Drosophila melanogaster: one gene and its partners. The protein of the gene in region 4 purifies or fractionates together with the protein of the main gene of each other region. This does not show direct contact. Each region holds a gene or a part of one and is shown on either strand. Other genes may lie near its edges. The genes, in order: Edc3, yps, Patr-1 and me31B.

Region 1 (8,488 bases), on a different chromosome or scaffold from region 4:
CATAAACATAAACATAGCAACAAAGTGCTGCCATAAGTTAATATGCTATTTTATTTAATTGTTCTTAATATTGCATAGGCACATACTACACCACAGAATCGATGCCGCCGCGGGGGCTCAGATCAGTACAGTACATGCCTATATGATGATGTGAGTATTCGGGCCACTAATCTCTGATTACAATCAAGCAAATACCAAATTTAATCATCGATGACGGCTGTTCTTGGTTTAATTTTTTCGACCAGCCAAGGATTTTTAGAGTGGGAATTATGAGAGCAGTGTAAAGAGTTGTTTGTGTTTGGCCCTGACAGTGGGTAAGAATCGATCGATAATGCCAACTGATTTTAACTACCATATATCTATTAACAATACCTATTGTTTTATCTATCTACGCCTAAGTCAACACACTGTTCTACACACTTTTAAGTTATACACCACACACGACACACTCTGATAAGATATAAATTAAAACTAATCTTTATTGATCTAAGCGGAATGTAATAAAATTGCACTTGAATTATAGCTGAGTCAACGAGTTTCTTAAATTTCATTCGCAAGGGTTCATCAAAGTCATATTTTTGACTGGAAATCTTATAATCGTGCTATGCGAAGTATTCCTTTAAAGATACCTGGAATATCTGTTAACTCGATCAATAACAAGATAAAGGTAAGCCTAATGGGAACATATCAGTTTCAAATAGATAGTCTATGGTATAGTGAAACAATTCGGCAACATGGCCGGATGTACTTGCTTACAGATGCGTATGCCACAGCCCATCAAGAATTTATCTTTATCCTTTTCGCTTTCTATACCGTATAGAAACTATTAATAATTTATATTAACGCCATTAATATAGGACCCAAAATAAAACACAATTGTAAAGCTTGTTTTCTTCCATGAGAAGGCTTCTCGGTGTTGTTTTGTATTTTTTAATTTTGCTGTTACGTTGGAAAGGACTTTCTCTTGTATCCGTTTTTTTCTGCCCGATTTCTGGTTCCAAAAAAGAATTTACGTACAATTTTTGTCTTTTAAGTATAAATTTAAAATTAGGTTTTCATTCTTTGTTTAACAATTTCAATTGGCCCAAAAATAGATGTTTTTTTTTAATTTTAAAGCGTTACCAAAATCTGGTTGTTTGTTGTTTCTCCTTGTCTTGGTGTTAATTTGTTTGGCTGTGAAATCTGTGGTTACTGTGGTATTGGAAAAACCTTCTCATCCTCCCTCGCCACCAACATCCCTTTAAGGTCTGGTCATCGTTTCTACTCCTAACGCAAAACAGTCACTGCGGGATCCGCCTGGCGGCTGATTGATCCGCATTCAACTCTCTTTTTACAATATAATTTGATGGGTTTGGAAATTGAATTTGCAGATGATCATCAACATGATTGGAGTTTACAACTATAGTTATTATTTATACAACAAGTAGTTTCAATTTGGGTTTTTTGTTTTGAGTTTTTGGTTGCCTTGCTGAGTCGCAACCTTCTAAAATTTTGCACTATTAGATTGGATTTAATCTTATATAAAATTAATCGCTCTACAGTTTATATTATAAGTATTGTGTTGTGGTTTCTTTTTAGTATTCGATGGGTAAAAAATTATGCTCTCGACTTTGTTTAGTTTCCCTTAAAGACACATCTTAATTATTTCTATACATAATATAAAGTGTTTCTCATTTTATAAGTTTTGTTTTGTTTTGTTTGTTATGGTCTGTTAAACTTTTAAACACTGTATTCTTACGAAACTTACTTAACTAATCTGATTTGATTTATACTTGGATTTGTATTCCATATTACATCGTACAATAGTTGTTGCTTTTGCTGTTGATTTAATGCTTAAAATTAGACATTGAATTTGGCATTTATTGCGCATACTTGATAGTAATTAACATGATCTTATCTTTCCCCATAGAATTGTATAGTTATTTACAAACAATTTCTCGCCTGATTTGTTGTTTACGATTATGAAGACCACTTGCAGGAAGGACAGTGAATTGTAAATTAAATTAAAACCTTAGGAAATTTTGGATTGAATGTTGGAAAAATTCCTTAGAGCGTGCGCCTAAACTAAAGCTTTATAAACTTGTAAATGCTGGACTAGCTTTCAAAACAGAGGGCTGAACAAGAAGTGTCGTTGCTTAAAATGAAAAAAAAATCTATAGGGTACAGTTGGAAACTAATCATAGTTTGGCACTTGGCCGGCAGCTTTGAATTAATTTAGAAAATATAGATTATAATAACTAGGCGTATCTAAAGGGATGATGCGTGAAGTAACCTAAAAACTATATGTGTACGCGCCGTAGAACAAAATGTTTAACTTGAGTAATATATGAGAGAAGAGTACTAAGAGCTAGATTCACAGGAAACTGGACTTGATGATCATCACAAGTGTGCGGGTGTGTCATTGTTATTGTTTTTTGTTGTATGTGCTTATTCTTGTTTTAATGGATTGCAGTTGTTGCTGATGCTGCAGTTTGATTGCTGTTGTAAATGTTGGTGTTTGTGTTGTCGTTGTTTCAGTCCTTTGAGTGAATCGGTATCACATATTTATGTCCATACGGACTTTTGTACTTAATGCCACAATCACGATAGAATTTATCCGGTATACCTAGATTACATAAATACAATTTGCCACAATTGTTCGTTGATGCTGCTGATTTGGTAGCCGATGCTGCTGCCGAAGTGCTAGCAATGGGAGTTGGTGTGGCGGCAGCCGAAGAGGATGATGATGTTGTTGCTGTTGATATGCCATTTAATGGTAGTATGGGTAGTATTGAGTACTTGATAGCAACCTCATTAATGCCACACGGCGGCGGGTCTATGGCAAGCACCGAAGCGCTAAAAAATACGTATAACAGTAATTTACTTTCGACATTAAATGGGGTTCACTAACCGATTTACACTGAGCCATTTCCTGATCGCATCCGATAAATTAGCGGTGTTAGTTGATAATATCACAAGATCTGGCGTGGGTAAGGCTGAAAAATGTAAATAGCTCAGTAATCGATTATTTATATTTTTTATTATATTAGTAACCTACCGTCTACTGAGTGAACTATGACATTGTCGGTTGCCTTGAACAATGAAATCTCTGGGCTGCTGCTGTTCTGCTCCAGCAGTTTGGCCTGCTCCACGTACAGCAGGACAGTAAGCCCATGCGAAGCCAGCTGGCGACCTGTGGCTGCTCCAATGTTAATTGTTCTGAAAGGAATTATGTTAGTCACTGCCTTGAAGTTATGTCCATATACGTTTGATTAAATCACCTCATATTTTTGCCGCCATCGCAGATGATGGCAATCTTCGGCCACTGATGGTTGTTGGCCGGCGTCAATCGCCTGGCGCCGCCCAGCAGTGTAATGGCCAGATCACTGGCTCCGCGCGCCAAAATGTCGATCTGCCTCTGCAGAGAGAGGCCCGCCTTATCGGCACTTATCTCGATTTTATTCCGAACGTAAGCCGGAATCGTCGGTATAATGAGACCGTCGTCCGTCACAAAGTCCTGGCTGCCGCCGAACATGCTTTCGATCTGGCGCAATTGTAGTGGTTTGCTGGCCAGGATGTTCTCGTCGTGCCGATACTTCTGCTCTGGCTTATGATGATGATTGTTCACAATGTGCCGCACCACATCTGGTTTTTGGGTCGTCGACTCGATGTCGTCCCAAATTGCCTGCTTGTCGAACAGCGCTAGATTGCCCTCAAAATCGAAATCCTCGTGGATCAGCGGATCGTCCGCCTCGCTGCCAAAAGTCAGTTGCACCTGTTGCTGCCGCATGCTGCTCTCCCTTCGCACCCTGTTCCGCTTGTTCTTCCCGTTGCCGTTGCCATTTCCATTGGTATAAGAACCATTTCCGGTGCCATTTCCATTGTTATTGGCATTGCCATTCCTTCTTACATTTCCATTTGTATTCCCATAGCTCGAGGCTGCCGTCTGCTTGTAAAATCCATCTCCGTTGCTGACGATATCTATGGGTTTGCTGCTGCCCAACGACAAACCAGTTGCCTCGCCGCTATCTCCGCTGCTGCTGCAGTAACTCTCCCGGGTGTTGCTCACGTAGGAGCCCAGTTTCACCTCGACCTTCGGCGGTATCATGTTGCCAAAAAAGGCGGCCACGCTGTTGGGAGTCGTTGATATCTGCGGCTGCTGCTGAGCGCTGGACGCACGGGATGTTTGTGGTGTTCTGGATGACGAAACAAATATAAAAGTTAGATGAAACCTATTTTAAATACGACGCTCAGTTGGCACAAGACCTATCTGAAACGACTGTTGCTTTTTATCAGTAATAAAGGTAATTTACTCATTTCGTATCTCAAGGTTGGTAAGTTTAAACATAAAGATGGCTTCAAAATGAAATGAAATAAACACAATCGTGCTGACTGCAAAAATCTTCATACTTTTTTTTTTTATAAAGAGCTAACAATTAATTTAAATTATTGGCATTGCACAATCGTTTAATGGGCCATATTACCTAAGGGTGCCATTTGAGCCGTTGGTCTCGATTAGCTTCAGCTGATGCATCTTATCGCTTAGCGCCGAATTGAAGTTGCCACGTGGGCCCGAAGAACTCGATGCTCCGCCAGCCGCTACCCGTCCATTGTCGTTGGCCCTTGACCGCGGCGTCGATGGCAGATCCTGTTCTCGTTCCTGCTCCTGGAACTGCTGTTTCTGTTGCTGCTGGAGTTGTAGCTGCTGCTGCTGCTGCTGGAGTTGGAGCTGCTGCTGCTTGCCCAGGATGTTGGAGAAGTGGGGCAGCTTGACGGGCGTGGGCTTGTTGACCACTGGCGGCGGCGCCGTGTGCCCATCCAGATCTTGCTTTGCGGGCTCGATGAGATCGATGCTGCGAATGTCCGTGCACTTGAGGACCACCTCGGCGTTCTGCTTTCGCAGCGGCACGCCATTGCGGAAAGCCCTCACAATGGTGATCTCCTCGGCAGAAATCTGCTTGATCAGGCCCTGGAAGACGCCCAGGACCTCGTCGCAGGCTATAGACACTGCACAGCCGATCCAGTCTTGATCCGTCGGACCCATGTAATCAGTTTTCGATACTCCCTTTGCGAATGCGACAACACGTTGGATCGGCTTGTTCTGCCCTGGCTAATGGTTGTTCGAAATGTTTGCTGGCCCGCGCAGAGCTGCTTGTTGTTTTCGTTTCTAATACGCAATTTCGCCACTAACTAACTACGCACCACGCACCTCTCTTCCTCTTCTTCCTGCTGCTGCACCGCCGTTGATTCTAGTGTTTTGTGGCTTAAAGTCGGGTGTTTTTGAATTATTTGGCTCTGCGGTCAAGGGGTTCGGTATTTTGTCTCTTTTAATCAATAAATGCACCAACCGTTGCAACACATTGACGCTAAAACTTATTGGATTTCTCGTTTCATTGGGATTTTCACTGCTTGCGTGTGGCCGTTCGTTGGTGTTCAGATAATACCGAACAATACCCAAACTAGCTGCGTGGCAAATTAGTTTACTTAATAAATTTATAATAATATACATATTTATAATAACTACAAATTTCATGCTTTACGGAAACTTCACCTTATTTTGATAAATATTTGGTTCAATAAAAGCCTGCGAGCCATTTTATGAATTTAACAAGTGCTTCCCTTAACTGTTAAGGCTTCTGGGTGCTGTGGTATGTTCTCAGTGCGCGTACACGGTCACTCTGGCAGTTTTGTTCTCGATTTTGTCGCCGTTTTGTGCATTTTTCCCGTCCGGTGTTTAAATTTTATTTAATACTGCGCGTGCGACATATATACAGGCACCTATAGCCGACCGATATCGGCGATTAAGGCATGTGCGCCGCCGAAGCGGTCAAAGTGATAATCGCTTGAATAGTGAGCAGTGTAGAATTTGCCGTGTGATAGAAGTACGTGATGATTTTCCGCAAATAGTGGATAAAGGCGAGCCCACACGCATACCACCGCAAAATATATACATAAATCGGGCGAAAATATAGTGGCCCGTGTTTGTGCGTGTGTAAACGTAAGTGGAAAACTTGGGCGAAACTTTATGCTAACCATAAATGGTCTACAAAGACATGGCTTCGCGCCTGGCTAATTATCAAGAAAATGTTTGGCTTTTGTGCTCTATCACCCACACCTCATTCACACAACACACACACTAGAAACACGCTTGCACGGGGGCAGGGCGGCAGACAGAGATGGCATCTAGCACAAGTACCGTTGTTCACTTTGTTTGCTGTCTTTGTTGTCTGTTCGCTTTTCTTTCCTTCGCTTCTGTACACCCTTCCCCCTCTTGTTACCTTATGGCAGCCTCCTCTTCTTCTTCTTCGTGTCATTTATCGCTTAATTTGCACTTCCGCTTTGCACATATTCACCCTCTCTCCTTCCGTCATTCTTTCATTGCAGAAGCTTCTCTAAAAGAAACAAACAACAACAACACAACAATGTCGGCACGTTCCAGCGGCTTGGTGGCCGCGGCGGCCCTTCCCGTCCCGTCGTCTTCTTCCTCGGTGGCCGGCGGCGACGTGCCACGCCCGCCGCCCCGCCGGCGAGCGGCCTCTGTTGCGGGACAACAGCAAACGCGCCAGGAATTTGGAAATGGTTACACTCCTCGCAGATCGTTGGCAGCAGTGGTAAGTTTACATAAGTGCAGGTGACGACGAAAAGAGAGAGCTTTACCTTGAAGGACAACTTAGGAACTCTTCTAACATCTTAGGAATTTTGTAGGAGCACCTTATGGTTACAACCTTATTTCACAACGCATCCAACTCTGATTGAAAAATTTCATTCCATTTTTGATAAAGCCAGTTAACTAATTATGGGTTATATAAACGCGTATGTATCAAATTAAGTTATCATAACACCAAATAGTGACCGTGGCACCTATATGTTTATCAATTTTTAATAGATAGTAAGGTATTACTTACTATGACATCTTATAAGATACTCTTATCAATTGTTTTGGTTTCGTTGCAAACTGACTAATCAATAAATGTATCTCATTTTAAAGGGCATACCGAAATGTTGTCTTATCAAAACTAAGCCAACCAATTCCTATAACCTTTTATAAGGAATTGCCCACAATGTATCCACCATTTTGTTGGTGTGAAGATTTGAAAAGTATTTATCAACGGGTGGTGCTGGGGGATTTGGTCGCCCTTATCAGTGCCTCCGCTGTATTTAGTGTTTCCATTTTTACGATGTTTTCACTACTAATCTAATCTGCAGATTGCCAAACAGCTGAGTCGTGTAGATGGGCCATGTAGATTTCACTCCCCTCATGGATGATAAAGTGGGATATATGTATGGTGGGAAAAGTAGGGGATCTACAATTCCTTCAGAAGCCGAAAAGCACGAAAAACTTACGAACTGTTCTTATCCAATACCTAGCTTTTACGGTGTAAAGGTCGTTGCATTTCGTCAACCATTAAGTTAGATGTAGTTGTATTTCAGGAGTGACTTCCATAAGTCTTTTTTTAGGAGGGCCTTTAATACAGCACATTACATTTTATCGTTTAGTCATTGTTTGCTTGTACCAATTACTTTATAATGTTAAAGAAAAAGTAGCTTTTTTGCGGATTTTTTAAAATCGAATAACATTTCTTGACTTGCACTTTCCGAAGAGCAGAAAAGTGCCAAGAAAAGTATTAGGAAGCCGCCAGAAAATAAACTGGCATCATCGTTGTTTACTTAGTGTCTGGAATGGGCTTTTCTATTGTTTTGCTCACTTGTATAAACAAATAATTCGCTCGCCATCTCAGGCCGAACGGAAACTAAACTAATTTATTTATCTTAATTTGCCAAAGATGCTAGCCACTTGAGCAGTCATCGGCATCTTCGAAGCTAATTTAATTTATCAACACAATTCTTGGCCGCCGCCTCTTGAATGTTGTGTGTCTACACTTTATGGTTTTCTGGCTGCACAGAGAGAAAAATATTGTTTTAACTTTTAATACCTAGGCTATGTTTAATGGTTTATAAAAGTATTTTAATTTCTAACAGAACTCGCAGAATTATATTATTCATAGTTTCTAAACGTATTATGAACTGACATTTTGTTTTGTGTTTCTTTTACTTTCTTTTTTAGTATCCCAGTGTTGGTTGTTTGCTCTGTTTGCTTTCACTCAATGAGCGATTATTTGACGGCACTTCAATTCTGTTTGTCGAACTCATTGAAGCGTTGTCAGAATGGCTCGAAATTCCTGTCCAAAAAGTGGGAGGTGTATGAATGAATGGCTTATCTTCATTAGTGCTTTTTTTGCCGCAAAAGTTGTATGCCCCCGCTAATTGAGCTCTGTTATTTGGGTTATTTAATCCAATTTGCACGTCAGCCGGCAAGCGGTGACGTCGGCCAATCGACGCACTTGTAAGAACAGTCGACGTCACAATTGCCTTAGCGGATAGCCTTAATGGGCCGCTTATCAGTCAACAGCTGGTCAATTACATCCATTGAATCCATTGCGTCAGCAGTCAGAACATTCTCATGTCTATTATAAGTGATTATACGCTATTTAGCTGAACATTATTAATG
Region 2 (7,264 bases), on a different chromosome or scaffold from region 4:
ATCGGCTGGTGAAGAAGAACAAGCGCAGTTCCGTTTGGAACGTCTACCGGGAAATCGCTCGTCCGGACGGCACCAAGTTGAAATGGCGATACTTCTGCATGGGCTGCAAGCGTGTGATGCAGAGCACCGGCGGCACCACCTCCAATCTGCGCATCCACAAGTGCCACGTACGGTATATCAAGCAGAACGGCCATCTCACCGACGGCAGTCACTCCTACGACCATGATCCCGCGCCACCAGCTAGCCAACCGTCGCCGCGCGTCCAGAAACCGAAGACCAGGCGGCCGACATCCTATTCTACGCAGTGTGAGCAGTTCTATGAGGTCACCATGGATCCGGAGACCCAGTACAGCGATCTGGATGATGAGATTGAGGCTTCTTTGGAGGAGGAGCAGACTGTAAGTACTGCACTTTTATACCCATACAAGTCAAGCTGAAACTACATAATTTAGATTATCCTGCAGCTGAAATCAAAACGTGAATTGGAATCCTCCCACTCCAGACCCCTGCTGAAGCTCTTCTCCGAGGAGAACTTGTCGACTGAACCAGAGGAGCCGGAAGACGAGATTGAGATTGTGGAGGCGGAAGATCAGGTGCCCATCGAGCTGGACCTATGTGACATCCAACATACTACATCCGATGCTGGCGGTGAGGCAATCGAACCCAAGCCAACGGAAAGTGTCGCCCAGTTCGATGCCAATGCCATTTCCGAAGCGGAATCCTATGCCAAAGCCTGGGCTCACGCCTTCCTGCGGCTGAACGAGGACCAAAAGTTCTACGCCAAGCGCTCCATAGATGAACTACTGGTCTTGGGTCGTCTGGAGCGACTGAGCATTTCCACGGTCACATCCTTGACCACAAACCTGTAGCACCTCACCATGCCAATACCGCATATGTAAATTAGCTTAAGAATTTATTTATATTGCAGACTCAATGATTTGCTCACTTAACGTAGATCCCCAATAAATAAATAATAAAAATTAGAATAAATATATAAAATAATATATTCGATAGCGATTTAAGTAAACATTTATAAACTACACTTTAGTTTAGAATTTACACAAATAAACAATACCAAAAAGTGTTTTTCAATTTTTTTATTTTTTCCAATACGTTTTTAAAGTTTTTTTTTTTACTTTCCTTTGTTGCCATCTTGCGTTTGTTGTATATTTTTGCATCTTTTACAGTTTTTTTTTGTATGTTTGTTTGCTGTGATTTACATGATTTCGTTCTTCTGTTTGTTTGCTCTGCTTTGCTTTCATTTCTTTTCGCCCGATGGCTATGGTTCTCGATTTCGGATGATGCATAAATGGGACAAAGTGGTGGTGTGGTTATTGGTATAGGTTTACGTTTTTAATGATCTTTAAATCGAGTAACTTAGAGTTATGGGTTTGCTTAACGCACAACGGGTAACAATGCTTTCAAGAATAAATAAATAAAAAATGGTAATAATCATTAAAGTAAATTGTATACCGGCGCCATCTAAATTGCAGTGTAATTGAAATTTATTTATGTTTTCGTGTTTGGTTTGTTGGTTCATACAATAAAAATTCCACAATTATGCAATTTTTTGACGACGGCCAGGCTTGATGGAAATTTTATACAATTTTTTGTTTGTTTTTGAATTTGATTGAAATTTTGAGGATGTTAGTTTTGTTGTGGTATGAGTTGTACAATTGATTCTCTGCCCTACGAAACTAAACAAAAAGCAAACAAACCGAAAAAACGCGGCGGCTCATTTAGCAAAATTTGCTGCAACATTTGCTGATCTTATTGCACCATGATGTTGCATTGGTCGCTGATGTTGAGGATGGGCTGCTGCTGCTGTTTTTCTGCGATTGTAGTTATATACTGCGGCTACTGCTGACGATGTTTTTGTTTGTCGGTTGACGATTTAGATCCTTTCGGATCCTTTTCTATGCAGTGCTCTCTGTGGTTGTATTTTGCAGCTCTTGAGCGCCGTTCTAGGAATTTGAACATGGGAAAACATGGCGAGGGGGGTAGAAATCATTAACGTAAGTACAACTTCAAAAATAAATCGAAGGGATGAAAGCAAAATGCTGGTTTCGGTTGTAAATTAAGTGTGTGTGTGTTGCTTGTTAGCCAATTAGTCACAGGTTAGGTAACTAAAAACTAAATGTATTAGAATGTTATGTTAGACCCAAAGCCTCCAAGTTAAGTGTAAAGTGTTAAATGTTAGGGTGGTTTCTCCGCTTTATCGCTGTTTCTCTGCTTTTGGTGTCGGTGCGTGTGGCTGCTCTGGTTGTTAGTGGTTATTTACGAATGCATCTACACAATGCACTTTAGTTAGTTGTTTAGTTTTTAAGACGCCTTCACCATGTTATTATTGTAGACCTTGTTGTTATGCTTGCGACTGACTGTTGCTGATGTTTACTAATTTAGATGTTGTTATCGTAGGTTTGTTTCGGCGAAGATGTTTCAGTTGTTTCTGCTGTTGTGATGATGCTGGTGATTAGTTCATTACCTTCTCTGGCTGCTGCTCCGAACCACCGCCAGGGCCATTTGGTTTCCTCTGGCGACGTGGACGTGGCTGTTGTGGGCGTGGCGGTCCCTGGCCTTGAACTGCAACAGAATAATATTAATAATAATATATACCAATTATCTAATAGCACAAAGTTCACTCACTGTATTCTCCGCCGTCGCGGCGTGGTGGCGGTGGACCATTGTTGAAGTTGCGTCGGAAGAAGCGCCTCTGGGGTCCGCCCGGTGGGCCTCCACCGCGACGTGGTCCCTGACCCTCGCCGCGCTGCAGACCCTCGGGATTCTGATCGTGGACACCGGGCTCGGCGCTGCCGTCACCGCCGCCCAGGCCGCGTCTCGGCTGACGCAGATAATAGTTGTTGTAGCGCCGGGGGCCACCGGGAGCTCCACCAGGCGGTCCTCGGGGGCCACCTCGAGGTCCTCCGGGCGGTCCACCGGGTGGTCCTCGGCGGAAGTTCTGTCGTGGTTGACGCGGGCCGGACTGCACCTGCTGCTGCGGCTGCCCGTCAACGATTGGTGCCGCCTGCTGCTGTTGCTGCTGGGCCGACGATTCGGCGTCTTCGCCTTCCACTTCGCCATCCTTGCGGCGATTCTTCTTCATCCAGGGACGGAAGTTACGGCGCTTGTCCGCTGCAAACTGACTGCCCCGCACCGGCTCACCGGAGGGACCGGTCACGTTGGCCGCCTCGTTGCCCTTCTCACCAATGACCACGTCGAACTCAACGACCTCACCGTCGCCCACCGAGCGGACCGCCTTTTTGGGGTTGTTCCGCGCAATGGCGCTCTGGTGCACAAAGACATCCTCTCTGGTGTCGTTGCGGTTGATGAAGCCGTAGCCGCTCTTCACGTTGAACCACTTGACGGTGCCGGTGACTTTGGTGGCTGCAATGGGAAAGAGTAGAAATTATAAACAATTGGGGATAATAGTGGGATTCAATATTTTTGGCGGTACTTATTCTACAAACGTGTGATCATTTAATTGATTTCAATGGTATAATACTTGTTTGGGATCAGTTGCAATCATTCCTTTATCAAATATTATAATCCTTTAAACATTATACATGCAACAAAAATATTAGGGAACAGTAGGGATGCACAGCGAGCTGACTTCTAAAATACAAATAATTCTACATAAGAAACTTAAATTATACAAAAGGGGTAGTTTTGAGATAATACTTTGCATTTTTTTTTTATTATAAAGGAGGGGCAAAACGCAATACATCTGAAACTAAACTAATACGCAGTTTGAAAACTCATTGAAGCGTGCAATAACATTGAAAGACGTTTTATAACCACAAATTATTGGTTAACAATTATTTAAAACTATGGTTACCAAAATTTCGAATAAACCATATAAGTATGCATATAATATGTTGATTTACGCGAAAATATAGTGGCATCCCAAATTATTTGGCAATATATTGTAATAGTCGCCGAATATTATTGTATCTTATTGGTTGCATTATGGTCTCGTGTTTTGAAATCGCCTTATAGCCATGCTTCCATGCGTTTTAGTGTGTGTGTGCAAATAGATGTACCAAAACAATGAACACACACATCCACACCCGGCTGTCTGCCCTCTCGTTCGCACTCCCGCTGCGCGCGCATTAACAAATTGGGTTGCCCTGGCTCGCTCTGCATGTGTGTATGTGTGTGTGTGTGTACACCTATGGGGGGGCATTTTTTAAAGAGGCGAAGCGGGTGGGGTTGGTGGTTGGGTGGGTGGAAAGACAGACGACCGGCAAAAGGCAGAATTTTCAATTTGGTTAGCCGGCGGCGCGAGCGTTCGTGCACATACATATATACATGCGTTGCGTTGCCTTTGGCCGCACAAAATGGCCGACGCGCGTATATTTTAAGACTCAAAACACACACACACACACGCATACAGGGAGGCATGTTTCTTGTTCTTTTTTCCTCCTTTTTTTCATTGCTATTTTGGTAGCAGCCGCCATGTGTTCGCGGCACATGAATGAAATTGGTTGGGAATTGGGTTTAACATGCGAGTTTCAGCCTTACCGATGACTTCCTTGGTGGGCGGAGCGGGCTGGCCCTGCTGTCCCTGCAGCTCGTCCAGCGGCTCCTGCTCGTGATCCTGCTCCTGCGGATTCGGCGGATTCTGCTGCTGCTCCGGCTGCTGCTGCGCCTGCTGCTGTTCGGCGGCCAGTGGCTTACTCTCCGCGGCATCAGCCATCGTTTGTCGTGGTTTTGTTATTTGTTGTTCGGCGACGACGAAAACGAAAAGCGGGAAATGCTGCTGCTGCTGTTGATGATGGTGGTGCTGCTGCTGCTGGTGTTGTTCGTGTCTGCCCGGCTGGTATTCGGGGTCTTGGGCACTCTCTCAACTGCCACTAACCACTTTGGATGTTGTTTTTGAGTGTGATCTTAAAACACTCGCCACTCGCAGGGTTTTCTTTGCCTTAGCGATTCTATTTTGTTCGCAAGCTCCGGAAGTGAAACATGACAGCCGGAGGCAGGGTTGCTGGTGATCGGACTATCGATGGGTGCTATCGATGCTCTGATACTGGGGGTCTCCAGTGTGCTGTTACGCGCGGAATGTTAAGCCATAACAACATAAAAAGCCGTTACATTTAAATTTACAAGAAAGGTTAATTGGAATAAATGGTTAAATTCATTAAATGGTTAGAATAATATAAAACTACAGTTTTATCATTAAAATGTATAAAACAACATGTCCAACTAAACAGCGGTGAAATTTATTGAAAACTTAGTATAGTATTTACAATAACAAACATATATGTACCTTTTATTTAGTAATTTTTAATATTTTTAGTTAGCTTGTTCTAGCTTCAACCGCATTCCGAAGTGTCTGTCTCCGCCAAAACCAATGAGCGTGCTCCACTGCAAATCCCAAGCAGCTTATGCCAATCCCCACGGACCAGAGATAGAAGGCGCCCTGCAGGATGTCCAGAGTGAGAACCACCTTTTTGTTACGAATCGCCAACTCGTTGGAGCCGGAATCCGTGTCCGTCTGGTCGCCCAGATCCTCGAGAAACTCCTCAGCATCCGGCGACGCACCAACCCGGGTGATCAGATCCATTTGACGCCAGTGCTCAAAGAAGCCGTGCTCGAGGAAGCCACTGTACAGAGATTCCAAGCGGTGCAGAAAGGGCGATCCTCTTGGTAGGATGTAGGTGCATATCATAGAGCGCAGATATTCCCGGGCGATGTGGTAGGCTGGTCGCTCTGCCTGCGAGTCATAGGTGATGGCCAGAAAGTCACGGGCGTGAAAATCCCGCATGATAAAGGCCGCTCGTCGATCCCTGCGCCGGACCACCGGCTGGTAATAGGATGTGGCTATTCCCAGTGGCAGCTGGCGACTACGGTTCTCCAGCAGACCGTATTGGTGCTCCGTCAGGGCGCTCCTAACTGCGTCATACATCGTGGTCACCGCATAAATGTGCACATCCAAATGTACCAAATCGTCCACTCGGTCCACCTGCTCCTCGTAGCTTGGTCGCACAAATCCGGACTCCAGTTTGGCAAAGTAGATGGTGGACAGGACGTAGCTGAAGAGGATCCAACCCATGAGGAACGTTCTCATCGAGCTGAAGGAGGATAGCCTGCCCGCCGGTTCACCCACATGTGTCTTGCCGAACATCTCGAGAATCTCATACCACGTTGCCTGAAACTGGATGACTCCGCGACGGGGAATTCTTCGCTGCAGACGTTGCATCACCCAGAAGACCAGCACCACAACCAAAAGGGTGACCAAGAGCAAGTACCACACAGTTCGCCGAAAGACACGCACGAAGATCAGGTACTCCGGCTGGATTGCGGAGGCGGGCACGACCAGGTGCAGGTTGCGACGGGTATAGGGATACAGCACCTCAACCGCTGGCCAAATGCAGTCGAGCACGAAGCGGGAATTGGGTGCAAAGTGGGTGTGACCACCGACTATGTCGCTGACCACGCCGGTGTAGTTTCCATTCGGAAGGCAACGACCGTAGGATTCGTTATCCTCCGGGAAGACATATGTTACTGAGGCATTCAACATCTCGCCAACAACTCGGGCCGCCACTCCATCCACTGCCTGATAGCCAGCTGTCTCCACAGGACTCCTGGGCATCGCCATCAACGGATCCGTAAACATGGAGAAACGCAATGGGTAGCCGCGCAAGTCCTTCACCTTTCTTGCGTACGGCACTTCGCCATCCAGCCGCTGAATCACTTGGAGACCACCCCAAGCAAAGGGATCAAAGTCAAAGGTGCCATTTTCCCTGCCGGTAATGGCCAATCCGTAGAGCAGCTTCTTGGCCCAACTGCCGCGAAAAAGTCGCAGTAACTGATGCCTTCCGGCATTTGGCCAAACAAACAGATACTTGTGCATATGCTTGCGCCTCTGGTGAGGATTCAACATGTCCAGGATGCGGCGTACCAAGGAATCACCCTTTTCGGCAGCCGGAATTTGAAAGATGCTTAGGCTGTCCGTTCGTCTAAATGGTTCCAGCTCATGTGCTTCCATGTTCCGTGTGATTACGGGCAGTCTACTGCCCACACACCGATAGAGATCCAATTCCAAGGCAGAGTAATCCGCATCGAAGGATGCCGGGCAGCTGGCACAGCGGTACAGATAGGTCACCTGGACATTCTGCTCTACGGCTATGCGACAGGCAATCTCGGCAAGGGCATAAATGCCAGGAAGATACCATTGGAGCAGCAATCCAACCAAAAACTTCATGTTCTACGAGCAGACTAACCAGTGAAATATCCTTTGGGTGAACACAACACCTGTAGAGGA
Region 3 (8,510 bases), on a different chromosome or scaffold from region 4:
TTGTCGCCGTCGCCGAAGAAGCAACGACGGGCGACTGGTCGCCACAATCGTCTGTCTAAGTCTAGCCTTTGGATGCACTCGGAGAAATTGGGGAGGTTATGCGAAATCGACATATTTTAGGCGTGCAAGGATATTAGTTGAGGAACTTATTATAATTTATTATATATAAATAAACGTAATTTTGCTTAATATTTTTTTGTGAATTTAAAGAATAAATGCATAACAGCTTAATGAATAATTTATTTTATTTTATTATATCAAAATTTTCCTGCAAAACCTAATAACTTAAGAGCTCATTCGAATTGCAGAGTAAAAATTAACCCTGAAGTCACATTATTTCTCCAAGTGTACCGCATGCTCTCTGCCAGTGTGGGGTGGGATCGGGAGAGTGGGCTTCGCATCCCTTCGCGCTGGGCGGACTGCTGCCGACAAGTTGTCGTCTTGGTGACCGTCGCCAGTGGTTGGCGTCGCCGACTCAGAAATTTGCAACAATTCCCGAGCGCGCCGCCGCCACTTGTTACGCACTTTGGCGCCTCCGCACAACAAAATGTCCCTTACGGACAGGCAACTGCCGACACTTCGACGCTTGATTCTGCGCCAAAAACAAAAACAGACAGACACAAAACACGTTCGCCATTAATGATGCACCCCCCCCCCCCCCCGGCACAATTGTTTATAGAAATCAAATGATTAATATATTATTATAGAAGAAAAACCGTTTAATAGCACAAGCGTAAACACCAATTGGAAGCAAATCAATAAATTTGAAGGAAAGCTAAAAAAATCCATAAATAAAATATCATTGAAATGGACAACTAATGTGTTTTTATCAGACTGCTTACTAAACTAAATATCATCTTTTTCAAAACCCCCCCAAAAAAATAAGGTGTTTTAGTTTCGGTGTGTTCTGTGAAATGGTATTTTTTATTTATTATACTCTCGGAAATTATATCAATTTAAAAAAATTTACTTTTGAATCAGCGAACATATTTATAGGAAAAGGTTTGAAGTGTTTGTATGTGATAAATACAAATTAAACTACAATTATTGTATATGTGTTTGCAATCTTAGACAGCTATCGTATTTTGACTCTTGTTTGCTAAAAAAAAGCATAGTTTTAAAGTATTTGCAAGACGTTTGCAGTCGAGTAGAATTTTTTTCAGATACAAAACATGAATTTCAATAAAAAAAATGAATTAAACAACATTGAATGATGGTGTAGATACAATTAAAAACGAAATAAAATTAAAATGCTCCACAACGGATTTTTACAACAAATATCTATCCGTTGCGTTACAGAAGTTTTGTGAAAATTGCTGTTTTCTAATTTCAAATTTGTATTTGTGTGTTAAACTAATTCTTTCCGATCATCGGAACTTCGTTTATGTTTAAAAGTCAAAATGTATCACAATTTTGATCATTTTGTTATAATAAATACGGCTGCACCTGTCACAATGCTAATTATTTAGTACACATTTATGCTGAATGTCTCGACTATATTTAATGGGTCTTGCACAAATTTGATTCAATGAAACCCAAAAGGTAGTATAGTAAAATTTCATTAAACCGATATTTACAAATACCAGAAAATAAGCAGATACTTAAGGATGCACATTTAAATGAGTATGCATGGATCGCGCATTAAATCGGTGCTTTTAAATTTTAAAACGTATTTATGATATTCCTTTTACAATCGTGATTACAAGATATAGGAGAGCCCAGTTGTTAATTCGATGACAAAAAAAAAAAAAGAATAATTTGTGGGGTGAATTATTCTTTATAAATCTCTACAGAAAATGCCGGAAAAGTACTCCTTATCGAATATAAAATGATATAAGTATGTACAATGAGCAAAACCTACCATTCGATATTATATTTATAAAACATGATTTCCTCTCTCTACCTTTCTTGTACAGTGCACACAATTTTGGATAAAAGAACGTTTCTAACAAACTATTATCAAAATTTATTGACAGTCGAGTACTTTCTCAATTTCAGTATGAGATTTTTATACCCTGTATCAATATTTTTGTGTAGTATGCGTAAATGTAAAAACGATCGTACATATGTAAGTTTTGGATACATATTCTATACAAACATATGCGTAATTGAGTAAAGCAAAGTGAACTCGGCTATATAATTTCACAATTATTTGAAACGCTTCAATCAAGTTAAATGAAAATCCGTCAAAGCAACCTAATCAATTTGATGCCTGGCTTCAGTTATTAATGCTAAGAGTGCATCCAGTTTAAGATCTTTAAACCGTTCAAAGTGGTCCATAAGTGGCTGAATTGCATCCGACTCAATGGCTGCCGAGATGGTCTGGTTTTGAATAGTGCGATTGAGGCAGGATGCAACCTGTGCCAGAAATTCTCGCCACTTTTGCCTGTTCTCCTCGCTAAGAGTTGCGTCAGTTCGCGAGACGTAGATTTCCTCGGCGCGAAGTATCAGGGCAACCAGCGAAAGGATTCCAAACTGCCAATTTAATAATTAGTACGCGTATCTATTACTTAATACTGAGGATAACTTACGCGACTGCAAAAAATTCCAGCAAGTTTCTTGTCATTCAGCGTAATAGCAGATGAAATGCTCACTAGGAGTTCGAAAGTAGCTTTGTTAACGTGTTTTTTAAACTCTGGGTAAAGAGCGTACAAGACGCCTTCAACGTCGTCCTTGTCCTTTTTCACCACTGTTTGTAGGGAACAGAAGACGCCGCTCCACACGACCCAGCGAATGCTTTGATCCGCAATAAAGGGCATTATGCGTCTAATAAGTATCTGCAAAGGAAAGATTGATTTAAATAAAATAGTGAGTTTCATGCGTATAGCACTAGAACATAAATCGAATTCTATTTGGTTGCACTTGTTAAAATTAGTATAAGAAAAAGTACACACCTTTCCCTTGCGCACATTCATCATGGCGATAACCTTGTCGAAGGCCAGACCTGCCTTTAATTTATTGACCAACGCAGCTTTCGTCTCTACCTCATAGTTGAACTTGTTCTTTAGTTGCGGATTCATGGTTTGCGGATTGGCGGCTTCAGCAGCACGTTCTTCGGGCGTTTTATTGGCCATTTCCAGCTGCTCAAGGGCTGCGATCCGTTCGGCTTCCTTTTTCTTTTTCAGCTCAATGGTGGCCATCACTTCTGGGCTTTCCAAATCCTCCAACTTCAGCAGATAGCGATACAGTGTTTCAATCAGAAGCAAAATGTGTCGCGACTTCCGCATGCTACTGGGATTTACATCATGGCTCGCGGAGGTGGGCAGCGGAGTCGAGCTTTTTGATGAAGAAGTTGCGTTGGCTTCAGCAGCGGCATTTGATTCACCACTCATAATGTCAGCATCGATAATTTTTCGCGGAGCTGTCACACTTCCGTACTGTAGCTTTCCCAGTGAGTTCTCGAACTTCAGTGGTGAGAATATATAGCCTGTCAGGTTGTTGTTGTTACCACCTGATCCATTGTTCGTGTTGCCTGACGTGCTGTTGGTGTTCTCCGAGTTGCGTCGCTCACGTCCGTGTCCATTGCGAGTACCATTCTTGTTGCCCAACTGTACGAGAATAAGCTGCGCATGGCCGCGTGGCTGAGTAAGCGGATGATTCAACTGGTTGTCCTTGTGCGCCTGACTGTTGCGCATTTGCCCGTTCTGTTGGGCCTTGCGCTCCCTGAACACCGTGTAGTAATAGTCGTCGATATACGGCGTGTCCGTATTCAGCTGCGAAAGCTGGATTCCGATTAGCCAGTGCTTGTCGCGCGTGCTCATTAGGTTGGCATATTCATCGTACTCTTCCAGCGGGTAATTTCCTGTACCATCTGGACGTCGTCCTTGTTGCTGCTGTTGCGCCTGCGATCTCTGACGATCGCTGGCCACGGATCCTGCTCTGCTCTGTTGCATTTGGCGTACAACAGCAGCCTGTTGAAGCAGCGGATGGTTTTGCTGGATCTCTTGCACTAGTCGCATGTTGAACATGTTATACATGGAATTCGGTGGCTGCTGACCTAATAGACTTGTGGCAGCTTGCAGCGGGTGCGGCGGCATTCGCGGTGGCAGCATCTGGTGCGGATGGGGAGGTTGCATAAAAGCCCCTGGATGGATTCCAGCGGCGCGCATCGCATTGAAGCTTGGATGCATCGCGAAATTGTTCAGGGCCGTGGGCAGAGCTTGTGGATTGGGTAGAGGTCGCTGGTTGCCGCCGGGCAGTGGAAAGTTGTGCGGCATGTGCTGCTGCATTAGAGGATGCTGGGGCAATTGCGGAATATTCCCGGGCAGACCTTGCGGGTAAATAAATCCGGGCGGCACTCGGTTGCCACCAATACCGTTTAGTTGTTGCTGCGACGATGGCGTGGGCAGTAGCTCGGGTCCGGGGAAACCCAAATTTGGCCTCGGTGGAGAGGTGTGCGGCGTGCCCAAGAAGCCAGGGGGTACTGCAATGAATTGTTAAATGGTGTTATTTTCATATGTCGCAGAAATCTATCAGGGACTTGAAGTTTGTTCCTTAAATGGTTAAATCTGTCTTAAAAATTGTCCCCAAAAATAGATTCGTAAGAAATAAATATTTTTAGGAATTATACTTTTTGTTGGACATGTTTTCTTTTTAAATACTGAGGCCTGTTTTTGTATGCATCAATACTTTTTAGTTTTAATATATAATTACCCTTGTGCTGCGCTTGTTGTGGCGGCTGCTGCTGCGACTGTTGTTTCTGATGATGCTGCTGCTGCAACATCTGTTGCTGCAACATGGTTGGTGTAGGCACCTGCTGCCTGTTACCCAGACTAAAATCATCAAACATTTTGCGTTCCGCCTGTTGCTGGCTCTGCTGCTGTTGTTTCGGAATGGCCTGCTGAATGATCATATTGCGCTCTATATCCTCGAGAGTTGTAATTTTTGGAAAAGGCTGTGGATTCAGTGCAAAGTTGGCATTCGCTTCCTGCGGTGGCTTCATTTGTTGTGGTTGGTGCTGCTGATGTTGCTGCTGCTGTGGCTTGAAGGCGCTGCGCATAGGCTCGCGGAACAAATGTTGGTTGTTGGGAAACGGCTGTGATCCCCAGACCCCGGAGTCCAGCTTAATGCGGTTGCTCAGCCCACCGGCTTCGCTATCAGTGGTGAAAGAGGACAGGTCCATGTCGTCCAACTTCATGGAGGAAATGTTTAGCTCCAAGTCCGAGTCCCCTATGTGACGAGACTGTCGGAAGGGGGCATTCAAAGGGGCCGGAGTGGAGCCGCTTGAAGAGGGCGCCGATGATAGCGGATTAGCGTGTCGCAGGAAGGCACCATTTCCCTGATCGGCAAAATCCGTATTTCCACTAGATTCCGCGGGTCGCTTCCGCACCCTTTCGCCATTCCCGCCCAGGCGTACCATCGTCTCATGGGCTTCCTCCCAGTCGCCATTTATAGCGGATCCAAAGGTTTCGTCATTGAGGGCATCGTATTCCGCCTCGACGATGCGTCCATCGCCACCATCTTCGTCCTGGAGAAACAATTGAAGCAAGTAAATTAGACATTCCTACTTTTTCTGCCCCCGGTGGCCTTCGATGCCCCCTTATTTGCCGAGTGAAAAGTGTGCGTTGGGCATTTGCCGACCCCTGTGCGGCCCGCTATCCCGGATATTGCAGCCGCAATGTCGGGACCGCTGCTTACCGGTAGATTCGTGTCAAAGCCGAAAAACGAGTCATCCATGGCGATAAATCTATTGCTTTACAAAAAATTATCATGACTTGTCAGTGACAAGTTGTCACCTCAGCAGTATAGCTGTCAAAATATCGATGGTACTATCGATAGTCTGACGTCGATGGTTTTCTGACTATCGCCACAATACATCAATTTCGCTCGCATATAAATATTATCATATTACAAATGTTGGAATTAACATGCAAATTTAAAATATATATTTTTTTCATACGTTTTTTTTCAATAGGTGAACGACTGAAGATTTGTCTAAATTTATAAGTTTGCATTTTGCTACAGTGATGTTAGAAAAAAATGATGATTTAACCACTGCCAAATTTCGTATGTTGCATATTTATTTATTCAGTTTGGGACTTACCACGACTGGTTAATAAGTCAACAACATTAGATTTTACTGATCAATGAAAAATCTGCCCTAATTAAGGTGCATTTGCACTCCTTCAATGTATTCGATATTTTGAACTAGTTCGAAACTTGAAATCAGCGCCCGCAAGCTCATCCCTAAATTACTAGTTCTTGAACTATTGCTTTGGACGGAACTACGAGCCTGTTTCCTTTTCCAAAACAACTTAGTCGAAATGAAGCGGAAAACGAGCGAGATCTGGTGCTTTTTCCGGGCGGTGGACGACACGTTTGCGGTGTGTAATATCTGCAAGGCGAAGCTCTCTTACAAGACGACCACCACGAATCTAAGCAAGCACATGAACAGGATGCACCCCACATCGGGACTCAACCGGAACTCCAAGTACAAATTCCAGCCGCAGACCACCATCGCCATCGACCGGAACAAAGCCAAGCCGCGCAACTCAACGCAAGAGCTGATATTGTTAGAATTCGTGAAGAAACATCCGCGTCTGCTTCAGAATCCGACGTGGGAAACACGGGGCAATCTGGAGTCGCTGTGGGAGGAACTGTCATCCGAACTTAATAGCCACGGTCCGCCGCGAAAAGATATAGCCACCTGGAGAAGGGTATTCTAACTTACTTTTTTTCTAACCGCTTGCATTATAAGTTGATTTGTTTGTAGGCCTTAAAGGACTGGAAGAGGTTTATCCTGAGAAAGGTGGAAAAGAATGAGATGCAGAACATGCCTTTTGGCACCAGTCTTACTTCGTCGGAGGAAACAATAGCCACACTGTGTAGATTAAACGAGGATGTAAGTCAGATTATTATGAAGGTCTCCGACGATGAAATGCATGAGAATTCCACCACGGAATTTGATGTGGACGAAGTAGAGGATGTGGTCCCGGAAGAAGATGGTGGCGCCCTTCAGACTTCCGCCGAGTACGTTTACGAACCGGAGGAGAACAAAACGGACATTGACCCGCTTTACCTGCAATCTAACAAACGGGCCGCATTGGCCAGCAGTCGACTGGCGGAGGAGGAGACCACACTGCTTGACAAGATTAGCAATAACCTAGAAATGGTGCACGATACCGCCAACAGCGTTCAACTTGCACTCAATGAATTTTTTGTCCTGTACAAGCAGAAGCTGTACGAGGACAAGCGACATCACTTGGCAATTGAACAGTTAATGGCTGAGAAAATAGAACTGAAAAAGAAACTATTGGAAATCGAGCAAAAAAAGCTGTCGCTCAAATAACGGGATATGCACAAAATTAAGTAATATCTTGGTAGTCTTAATAACCTAATCTTTAAATAATCTAAGTTATTCAATATTTTGATTAATTTTATCACATTTCTTTTAGCTTGGCCCAAGCCCACTTAATATACAAATTTAATTTAATTTTTTTGGTTTTATTTTATAAATATTTAGATAATATGGCGTTGTTCATCATAGACTTGCTTTAGAATCTCTTTAAATTCCAGGGGATAAGATGCGTCGTCCATAACAGCATCGTAAACATACTCTAAATTCTGTGGGAAAGATGGTTGAATAAAAAAACAAAGCAAAGTATTAGGCACATCACTTACTGATTTGGATTCATCTGAGGAGGAAGTCTTGCCCTCTTCGGGATCACTCAACCCATTTAAGTCTCCACAGGCTATAAAAGGAACTAGACGACGGTTTACTTCCGACCCTGTTTTCTGTGCCAGTAGCCGTATATCATCGCGAGCAGGGTTAATCACTTGAGGAATGTAGCCCTCGGGAAGGCAAAAATCGGAGCAAACCACAAAAGCTTCAATGCTCGAAGGACGCGAACTCGGTGGCTTGTAGATGTCGAATTTTTTGAAAAATATCTGCATCTGGGAGCTCAATAGCGATGTGGCATTTCCCTTAAAAATCTTGGCCACAAAAGTTCCGCCAGTTTCCAGCACACAGGTGGCAATGCTGAGAGCAGCCACAAGTAACTGGTGCTGCATGTACTCGTCCATTTCATGGACCCCGGTGACATCGGGGGCTCCATCGCAGACCACCAGCTGGGCTTTTTCATTTCCACCAAAGTGACCGATGATTGCTTCGGCGGTCGACTGCTTTGTGATATCTCCCTGGAGCTGGAGTATTCCACGGATCGGGGCCATGGCCTGCAGATCAACGGCTATGATCTTAACAGCGGACTTTTCATCGTCCGTTTCGCAGGTATCGTAGAGTTTCCGAGAGAGCACCTGGGACCAGCTGCCAGGAGCAGCACACAGATCGACTGCCCGCTGAACACCTATATATGGAAAAGTGTGTTATATTTTGTTCCTAAGTAGTTTCAATGATCTAACCATTTAGAATTCCGTAGGCTTCGTCCACGTGGAGCAACTTGAAGGCACTCCTGGCCCTCCAGCCTTCGTCTTTGGCTTGTCGGTAATAGATATCTCGTTTGTCCTTTGATGTTTTCCCCATTGTAAATAAATATATGAAATATCAGGGATGC
Region 4 (6,794 bases):
ATCAGACAAATGGAAAACATCAAAATCGATTGCTTCCAATTCTTAATAATATTTTTGATCATTAAGTTTACGACTTTAATGGGCGATTACTGCGTTCAATTGCCGCTCGTTTCCTGCTATAAAGACCTATAAAAATAACTGCAAAACTGGTGACGACATACCTGAGGGCTTTGAGAAGTTTGCGTTGATATTTAGGTTCTGAAAACCCTCAAATTTGAAATCGGTTCCATCGATCTTGCAATAGGTACTGAAATTTCCTTTTGCATACATTTCACCTTCGGCACAACAACGACGAATACAGGGTATTTTTTGGCAAATTTTCATTTCCTGACAAGCACGCACCAGAAACTTCTGTTCCGGTAATGCACCTCTATCCAAATCCGCATCGTCGGAGTCGTGAATAGCTTCGATGCAAAACTTGGAGCTGGGCAAACTGTTGGTTCCATCTTTCCAAATCAACGAATTATTATGAAAGTGCACTTTTCCGGAGGACAACGTATATTCCACGAGTGCTCTGTGGTCGGAACAGTTTAGGGTGTTATCAAAAAATATAATTGGACTGCTGATGATGGAAGTATAAACAAAGAAATCGCTTTCGCCCGGTTTGCATGTATTATTTTCGGAAACGTAAATAAATCCCTGTGGGCAGCACTTGTTTACAAATCCAACACTTTGAGACGGCACATTCTTTTCGAATTCACAAGATAAAACGATGAGACGTCTGTTTAATAGTCCAATGCATGAGTTATTTCGCAAATTCAAGGTGCGTTCACCTAAATCACTTATACTCAGACTGCTAAAGTTCTGGCACTTTGATAGTGCGAATTGGCTGTGGCCTGAGTCATTGATAGCCTTTTCTAATCCAAGGCCCATTGGTGGTATCAATTTGCCTATCACTTGGGCAAGATCCGGAAGTTCACTGATGTTGCTTGCGGCGGAAGCGCACTGGTATATTTCCGCATTGTCCACAGTGCGGCGATATTTGAATAGTAACGAATTCGCGGCACAGCATAACTGAACGGCGAGCACTTTTGAAATGCCACTTAAAATCAGGCACACTAAACTTAGTCCGATGTTCATTGTTTACGGCTCGTCTATTATACCCAATGACCGATTTGCGAGCTTGTGTAATGTTTGTATCTTTTCTTAGAACGGACTTTTCATATCTTATCATTGAGGAATCGTTATCGGACCATATACACTTCGAACCGCATGCAGTTGCCGGATTTAACGAACTGAACTGAAGTCTTCGCGATTCCTTCGCGAGCAAATGCGAATGTTTATGGGTAAACATTTGGCCCGCACACAGACGGACATAGCTCGACGTATATAGGCAATACATTTATGGATTCTCGTAAGCCTATACAAATAAGTTATGCCCCATGGAGTGCCTAACACTTAGCATGCTGGGGGTGCTCACGGATGGTATCAATACACCCAAATGGCCGCATATTTATGTAGGTACTTTGTGGTTCTAACACATATCTATCTATCTACACAATTCAATTGATGACTTTGTACACTAGCTTCTGACGGCAAGACAAATGCGACTGCTCGTGTTAACATTGTGCAAAGCTCATTAAGGGGAAATTGATAAGGTACACAGATACACACATCCATACACACTTATGTACAGAGGTGGGTGAGGTAAGCAATGGATCCTTTAATCGTCTAAGTACTCTACGCACCATAAATCACCTGGAAAATGTCAACGATACGCAAGTATTTATCTTTTCAATTAACTTAAGTCTAGTTATTAGCTGACTTTTTTCCATATATTCTTTCATGACACAAACTAAAATCGCAAACATAAATGTCATTTTTATAATATACAAATCTCCTCTATCGCAAGTACTATTTATTTATTCTAATACAAATATATTAATTTTGTCATTCTCCAATCGGAATAAGTATAAATAAAGTATAAATCCATTGGTTAAGAAAAGAAAAATCAAAAAAATAATTTTTATTCATTTTAATGTTATTAGTTAGTTTCTAATGTGATCTTTCATTAAATATTTAATACTTATAAATTATAAATGAAAAGATATTCATAAAAATCGCAGACAATCAAATTAAAGCTTAACTCAGATGTTCTTCTTTCATACACGTTCGAAATCTTCCTGTCGTTCCTAAGTCCCGTTCACACAGGCAGCTGCTTCATCTGAAATGCAGTTCATATATTGTTTTTGTTATAATTAAACGGTGATTTTAACCCGGCCGGAGTGGAGTTGCTCATTGGAAATGCTTTTCTAAATTAATTTAAATTTAAAATAACGGCAACAGCAGCTAACACAACAAAAATGTGAAATATTTGGGTATACATATACACCTACAGGATTTATAAGAGGAAAATTTAAATGCCGATTTTTTTTAAATAAAATAATTCTTGCCTAAATATGTGGACTAATTTTAAAACGTTCATTTGTTTTTGTTAAGCCATGTATAAATTTCTACAATATTATTGTTCGTCATTTTGAACTTGCAAAATTTGTTTCATTCCAACGTTCCAAATCAGGGCAATACATATTTATTATCTACACCGAGTGAAAATATTTTCCGAGTCATCAGAAATTTGTATTATTGATAGCATGTTGTAAGGCGACTCGACTATTTTGAAGCTAAGTGAAATTTTATATTGAAACGCAAAGTTGAATACGTGAGCAGTATATGAAAATCGGTGAATACAGTGACTTCATTAGTCAGCCGAAAGCAAAAGAGAGCGAAATACATTTTTTAAACAAACTAAACTAAAATTTCACTGTGAATAATGATGACTGAAAAGTTAAATTCTGGGCACACTAATTTAACAAGCAAGGGGTTTGTATATTTTATATTTATTTATATTTTTTTTTTCACAAGAGGACCCAAGCTTGGTGTCCCAACAAACATAATATGCATGCGTATTCATCAGCCCATATTTATGATTAGATGCCGAAAAGACAAGCCGTTTTATAGTTTAGAACGTCAATTTTTGCAAATGATTGAGCATGTAAAAGCCGAAGATCTGTATTTTAGCAACATCATGTAGTTAGGCTGTTTTCACTCAACAACTAAACCTGCAGAACATGTTATCTAATGAAAAAAACCAAACAATGTGATTCCCGTATTTATATTACTTTATTGTATGTAGTAGCGGAACATGTGTACATATGTATAAAAGAGTTATCTACATATGTAGTTGCACTCGTGGACTTATTTACCGCTAAAAATGTTGCTAAATATAATTGCACTGACTTAAATCATTTAGAAACTAACACTGTATTTAGGTAAAACTTCTATTGGGTGATTCTCAACTTTTGAGATCAGAACAAAACAGGTATTTTTTTTTTGCATTTCAGCGCCATGAACAGTTATTCGTGGGCTGCCATTTTAAAATTTGGAGTAGCGTTTCTTTTTCTCTCCTCCATAAATGTGCGAAAGAGAAAAAATGTTGAGTTCAATCGCTTTTAGATTGTTCAGTTCTTAAATATTCAAGACATTATCCATCTTTGTTTACGATTTAAAATCAATATTAACATTATTATTAATATACATTAATACATGGCTTAGACTTTAGCTTAAAATGCACTTTACATAAAAGAACTCATTTACAAAATTTTAAAAATCAAAAATTTTTAATATATATATATGCTTATATATGCCATCCATATATATATGGATGTGAATGACCTACATATATCGTAATACTTTAATTACCATTTTATTTTTTTTCTTTTCATCCAGGATTATAAATGATCTTCAAATTGCTGGAAACACAAGTGACGATATGGGCTGGAAATCAAAGCTGAAGCTGCCGCCAAAGGACAACCGATTCAAAACAACTGTGAGTTTGCCGACAAATCAATCGGAATTTATACAATTTAAAGCACAAACAAACTAACAAATAAATGTATTGCCATTGCCTTACTCAGGATGTGACCGATACGCGAGGCAATGAATTCGAGGAGTTTTGCCTTAAAAGAGAACTGCTTATGGGTATATTCGAGAAGGGATGGGAGCGCCCTTCGCCAATTCAGGAAGCAGCTATTCCTATAGCATTAAGTGGAAAAGATGTGCTGGCTCGGGCCAAGAACGGCACAGGCAAGACAGGAGCCTACTGCATCCCAGTTTTAGAACAAATCGACCCAACCAAGGACTACATTCAGGCACTTGTGATGGTCCCCACCCGAGAGTTGGCGCTACAAACCTCACAGATATGTATTGAGCTGGCGAAACATCTTGATATCCGGGTAATGGTCACAACGGGAGGTACCATTCTAAAGGATGACATTCTTCGTATTTATCAAAAAGGTGGGTTTTGATGATAGTTAAATAACCTAATATCGGTTTAATTGCAACTTTCTAAATTTTCCCTACGCCTGCAGTACAATTAATTATTGCCACTCCCGGACGAATATTAGATCTGATGGATAAGAAAGTTGCCGATATGTCGCATTGCAGAATATTAGTTTTGGATGAGGCCGATAAGCTATTGTCGCTTGATTTTCAAGGCATGCTGGATCATGTTATACTAAAGTTACCAAAGGATCCACAGATCTTGCTATTTTCCGCAACATTTCCACTAACAGTCAAGAATTTCATGGAGAAGCATTTACGCGAGCCTTACGAGATCAACCTGATGGAGGAGCTAACACTGAAGGGTGTCACTCAGTACTATGCATTCGTACAGGAGCGCCAGAAAGTACACTGCTTGAATACGCTCTTTTCGAAGCTGCAGATCAATCAGTCTATCATATTCTGCAATTCCACGCAACGTGTCGAGCTATTGGCCAAAAAGATCACAGAGCTTGGATATTGCTGTTACTATATACACGCTAAGATGGCCCAGGCACACAGAAATCGAGTATTCCACGATTTCCGCCAAGGACTCTGTCGCAATCTGGTGTGCTCCGACCTGTTCACCCGTGGTATCGACGTGCAGGCCGTGAATGTAGTAATCAATTTCGATTTCCCACGAATGGCAGAGACATACTTGCATCGAATTGGTCGCTCAGGACGTTTCGGTCATTTGGGTGAGTTTAATTGCATTCTCATATTATAGTTTAGCCTATTTACAATCTTCGTTTCTCATTTTAAGGTATTGCTATTAATCTGATAACCTACGAGGATCGGTTTGATCTGCATCGGATTGAAAAAGAACTTGGAACCGAAATAAAGCCTATTCCGAAGGTCATAGACCCCGCCCTTTATGTCGCAAACGTTGGCGCATCCGTTGGCGATACTTGCAACAACAGTGATCTGAATAATTCTGCGAACGAGGAGGGCAACGTTAGCAAATAAAACGGATATGCCCTGTGTAACGCTAGTATCTGAAATAGAGTCTAAATCGTGGAATCAATAAAAACAGATGAACTATTTCAGAAATCAAAATTGTATTAAATAAATGGAAAGCAATTCAATTTTTAAATGCGCTCTTAAGATAACTGAAATGACTGGTCTATAAAAAAAAGGCTCGTTCACTTTGTGGGTTTTGGTGCTGAGAAGTATTAACATTAACTATTGGGGATTTGGTAAGGAAAGTTAGTCGAATGCTATTAAAAGGCAGGCTAAGGTCGTTTAATATCAATCCAGTTTTTAGTAAAGGGTTTAAATCAAATAAAAGGTCTAAAAGTAATTACAGGATTTTCGGACAAGAGAAGTACACTTGGATCAAGCTAAATCCTAGATTTACTTACATGGAAGAATTACCATTGGCAATTACCCGATTTACTAGATTCCAAAAAAAAAGTACAAAGGGATCATTATAATTTAAATAAAATTTATTTATTAGCATCCAAAATTGTAAGCTTTGCTTGTCAGAATATTTACAATAAATGTACAATATTAAACAAATCATATATATAGGATAGGGTCATAAATTTCAAAACTTTACGTATTAAATATGTTCGATGAGGAGGAAGAGGAGTCGGATTGGTCAAAGTCGATTTTCGCATAGGTATTCCCATCCTCCGGGCATGCGGACACCGGCGGCGATTCGCGTGATCCTCTCTTCAGGTATTTAGCTGGATTTTGGCCACTGCAATGGGGAAGATCTAGGCTGGCGTAGTGCAGCTCCGGCTGGGATATGCGAGACGACGACCTTGAGGGGAAATTCAAATCTTTAATCTGTAGAATGTTCTGTGGTGTACTTGGATCTGTGCCAGTGCTACGCGAATCGGCGGCGGCGGCTGGCTTTGCTGAATTTATATTGAATTTGGTGAGTGAGCTGCTGCTCACCGCGGTGGCGGTGGCATTATCGGGAATCGTATTCACACTCTCTGTAAGTCTCTGCGAACGCTCCAAGTTATCCTTGTGTATACCCTTTTGGTATAGCTTCGATGAGATGAGTGAGCTGTCGCTTTTAATTTGCAGAATTTTGTAGCCGGCTTCGTTAAATTTTGTGAAATCATTCGATTTGTCCTTGATTTGTGTGTAGTCTTCGCTGCTTATCGAATGAACCAACTTCTTTTCCTCATGCCCGCCTATATCCAAATTGTTGTTCTCGACAATCTTGTCGGCCAGATGATTATTTAGCTTATCGCTGCTCTGCGCGCACACTTTCTCGCAATCAATTTGATTTGCTGAATGAACATCATGGCTTTTGCTTGTACTCTCGACATTTGTGGGTTTCGAGCTAAAGGTGTTGTCATTCAATGGCGAGTTCGACTTCTTTTCCTCGCTTCTGCTGGGCTGTTCTCTCCATTTCTCAGCGGATATATTGTATGTGCTAATTTTGTTTAAATCGTGCACTGGTGCGGCTGTTGCGGTGAGTGGCGGTGCTGTCTGATAGTCGGATAGCTTGAGTTTCTCCA

What was found.
Region 1: the proteins of me31B (region 4) and Edc3 purify together in Drosophila melanogaster (affinity purification with western blotting; 7 studies listed by BioGRID). This does not show direct contact.
Region 2: the proteins of me31B (region 4) and yps purify together in Drosophila melanogaster (affinity purification with western blotting; 3 studies listed by BioGRID, with this or other methods). This does not show direct contact.
Region 3: the proteins of me31B (region 4) and Patr-1 purify together in Drosophila melanogaster (affinity purification with western blotting; 5 studies listed by BioGRID). This does not show direct contact.

Annotation. Positions count from the first base shown.
Region 1 is NT_037436.4:17,524,446-17,532,933, forward strand, and holds Edc3 (enhancer of decapping 3), read right to left. Parts: upstream 5,417-8,488; 5' UTR 5,024-5,416; coding exon 4,464-5,023; intron 4,396-4,463; exon of another isoform or gene 4,255-4,395; intron 4,176-4,254; coding exon 3,261-4,175; intron 3,199-3,260; coding exon 3,038-3,198; intron 2,976-3,037; coding exon 2,891-2,975; intron 2,836-2,890; coding exon 2,514-2,835; 3' UTR 888-2,513; downstream 1-887. Other genes in the region: Nedd4, read left to right, coding at 6,402-6,590. UniProt on the Drosophila melanogaster protein: In the process of mRNA degradation, may play a role in mRNA decapping.
Region 2 is NT_037436.4:12,120,191-12,127,454, forward strand, and holds yps (ypsilon schachtel), read right to left. Parts: upstream 4,961-7,264; 5' UTR 4,697-4,960; coding exon 4,522-4,696; intron 3,385-4,521; coding exon 2,647-3,384; intron 2,584-2,646; coding exon 2,486-2,583; coding exon of another isoform or gene 2,474-2,485; exon of another isoform or gene 1,965-2,473; coding exon 1,917-1,964; 3' UTR 1,490-1,916; downstream 1-1,489. Other genes in the region: CG11560 (uncharacterized protein), read left to right, coding at 1-398, 453-869; Ir68b (ionotropic receptor 68b), read right to left, coding at 5,297-7,204.
Region 3 is NT_033777.3:17,040,816-17,049,325, reverse strand, and holds Patr-1 (protein associated with topo II related - 1), read right to left. Parts: upstream 5,763-8,510; 5' UTR 5,677-5,762; coding exon 5,638-5,676; intron 5,468-5,637; coding exon 4,654-5,467; intron 4,424-4,653; coding exon 2,895-4,423; intron 2,778-2,894; coding exon 2,532-2,777; intron 2,476-2,531; coding exon 2,197-2,475; 3' UTR 905-2,196; downstream 1-904. Other genes in the region: bdwf (bedwarfed), read left to right, coding at 6,264-6,656, 6,713-7,288; Trm7-32 (tRNA methyltransferase 7-32), read right to left, coding at 7,459-7,563, 7,621-8,303, 8,359-8,479.
Region 4 is NT_033779.5:10,236,766-10,243,559, forward strand, and holds me31B (maternal expression at 31B), read left to right. Parts: upstream 1-2,575; 5' UTR 2,576-2,770; coding exon 2,771-2,820; intron 2,821-3,173; exon of another isoform or gene 3,174-3,319; intron 3,320-3,726; coding exon 3,727-3,826; intron 3,827-3,914; coding exon 3,915-4,293; intron 4,294-4,367; coding exon 4,368-5,015; intron 5,016-5,080; coding exon 5,081-5,283; 3' UTR 5,284-5,407; downstream 5,408-6,794. Other genes in the region: mthl15 (methuselah-like 15), read right to left, coding at 162-1,080; chico, read right to left, coding at 5,872-6,794. UniProt on the Drosophila melanogaster protein: ATP-dependent RNA helicase which is a core component of a variety of ribonucleoprotein complexes (RNPs) that play critical roles in translational repression and mRNA decapping during embryogenesis, oogenesis, neurogenesis and neurotransmission.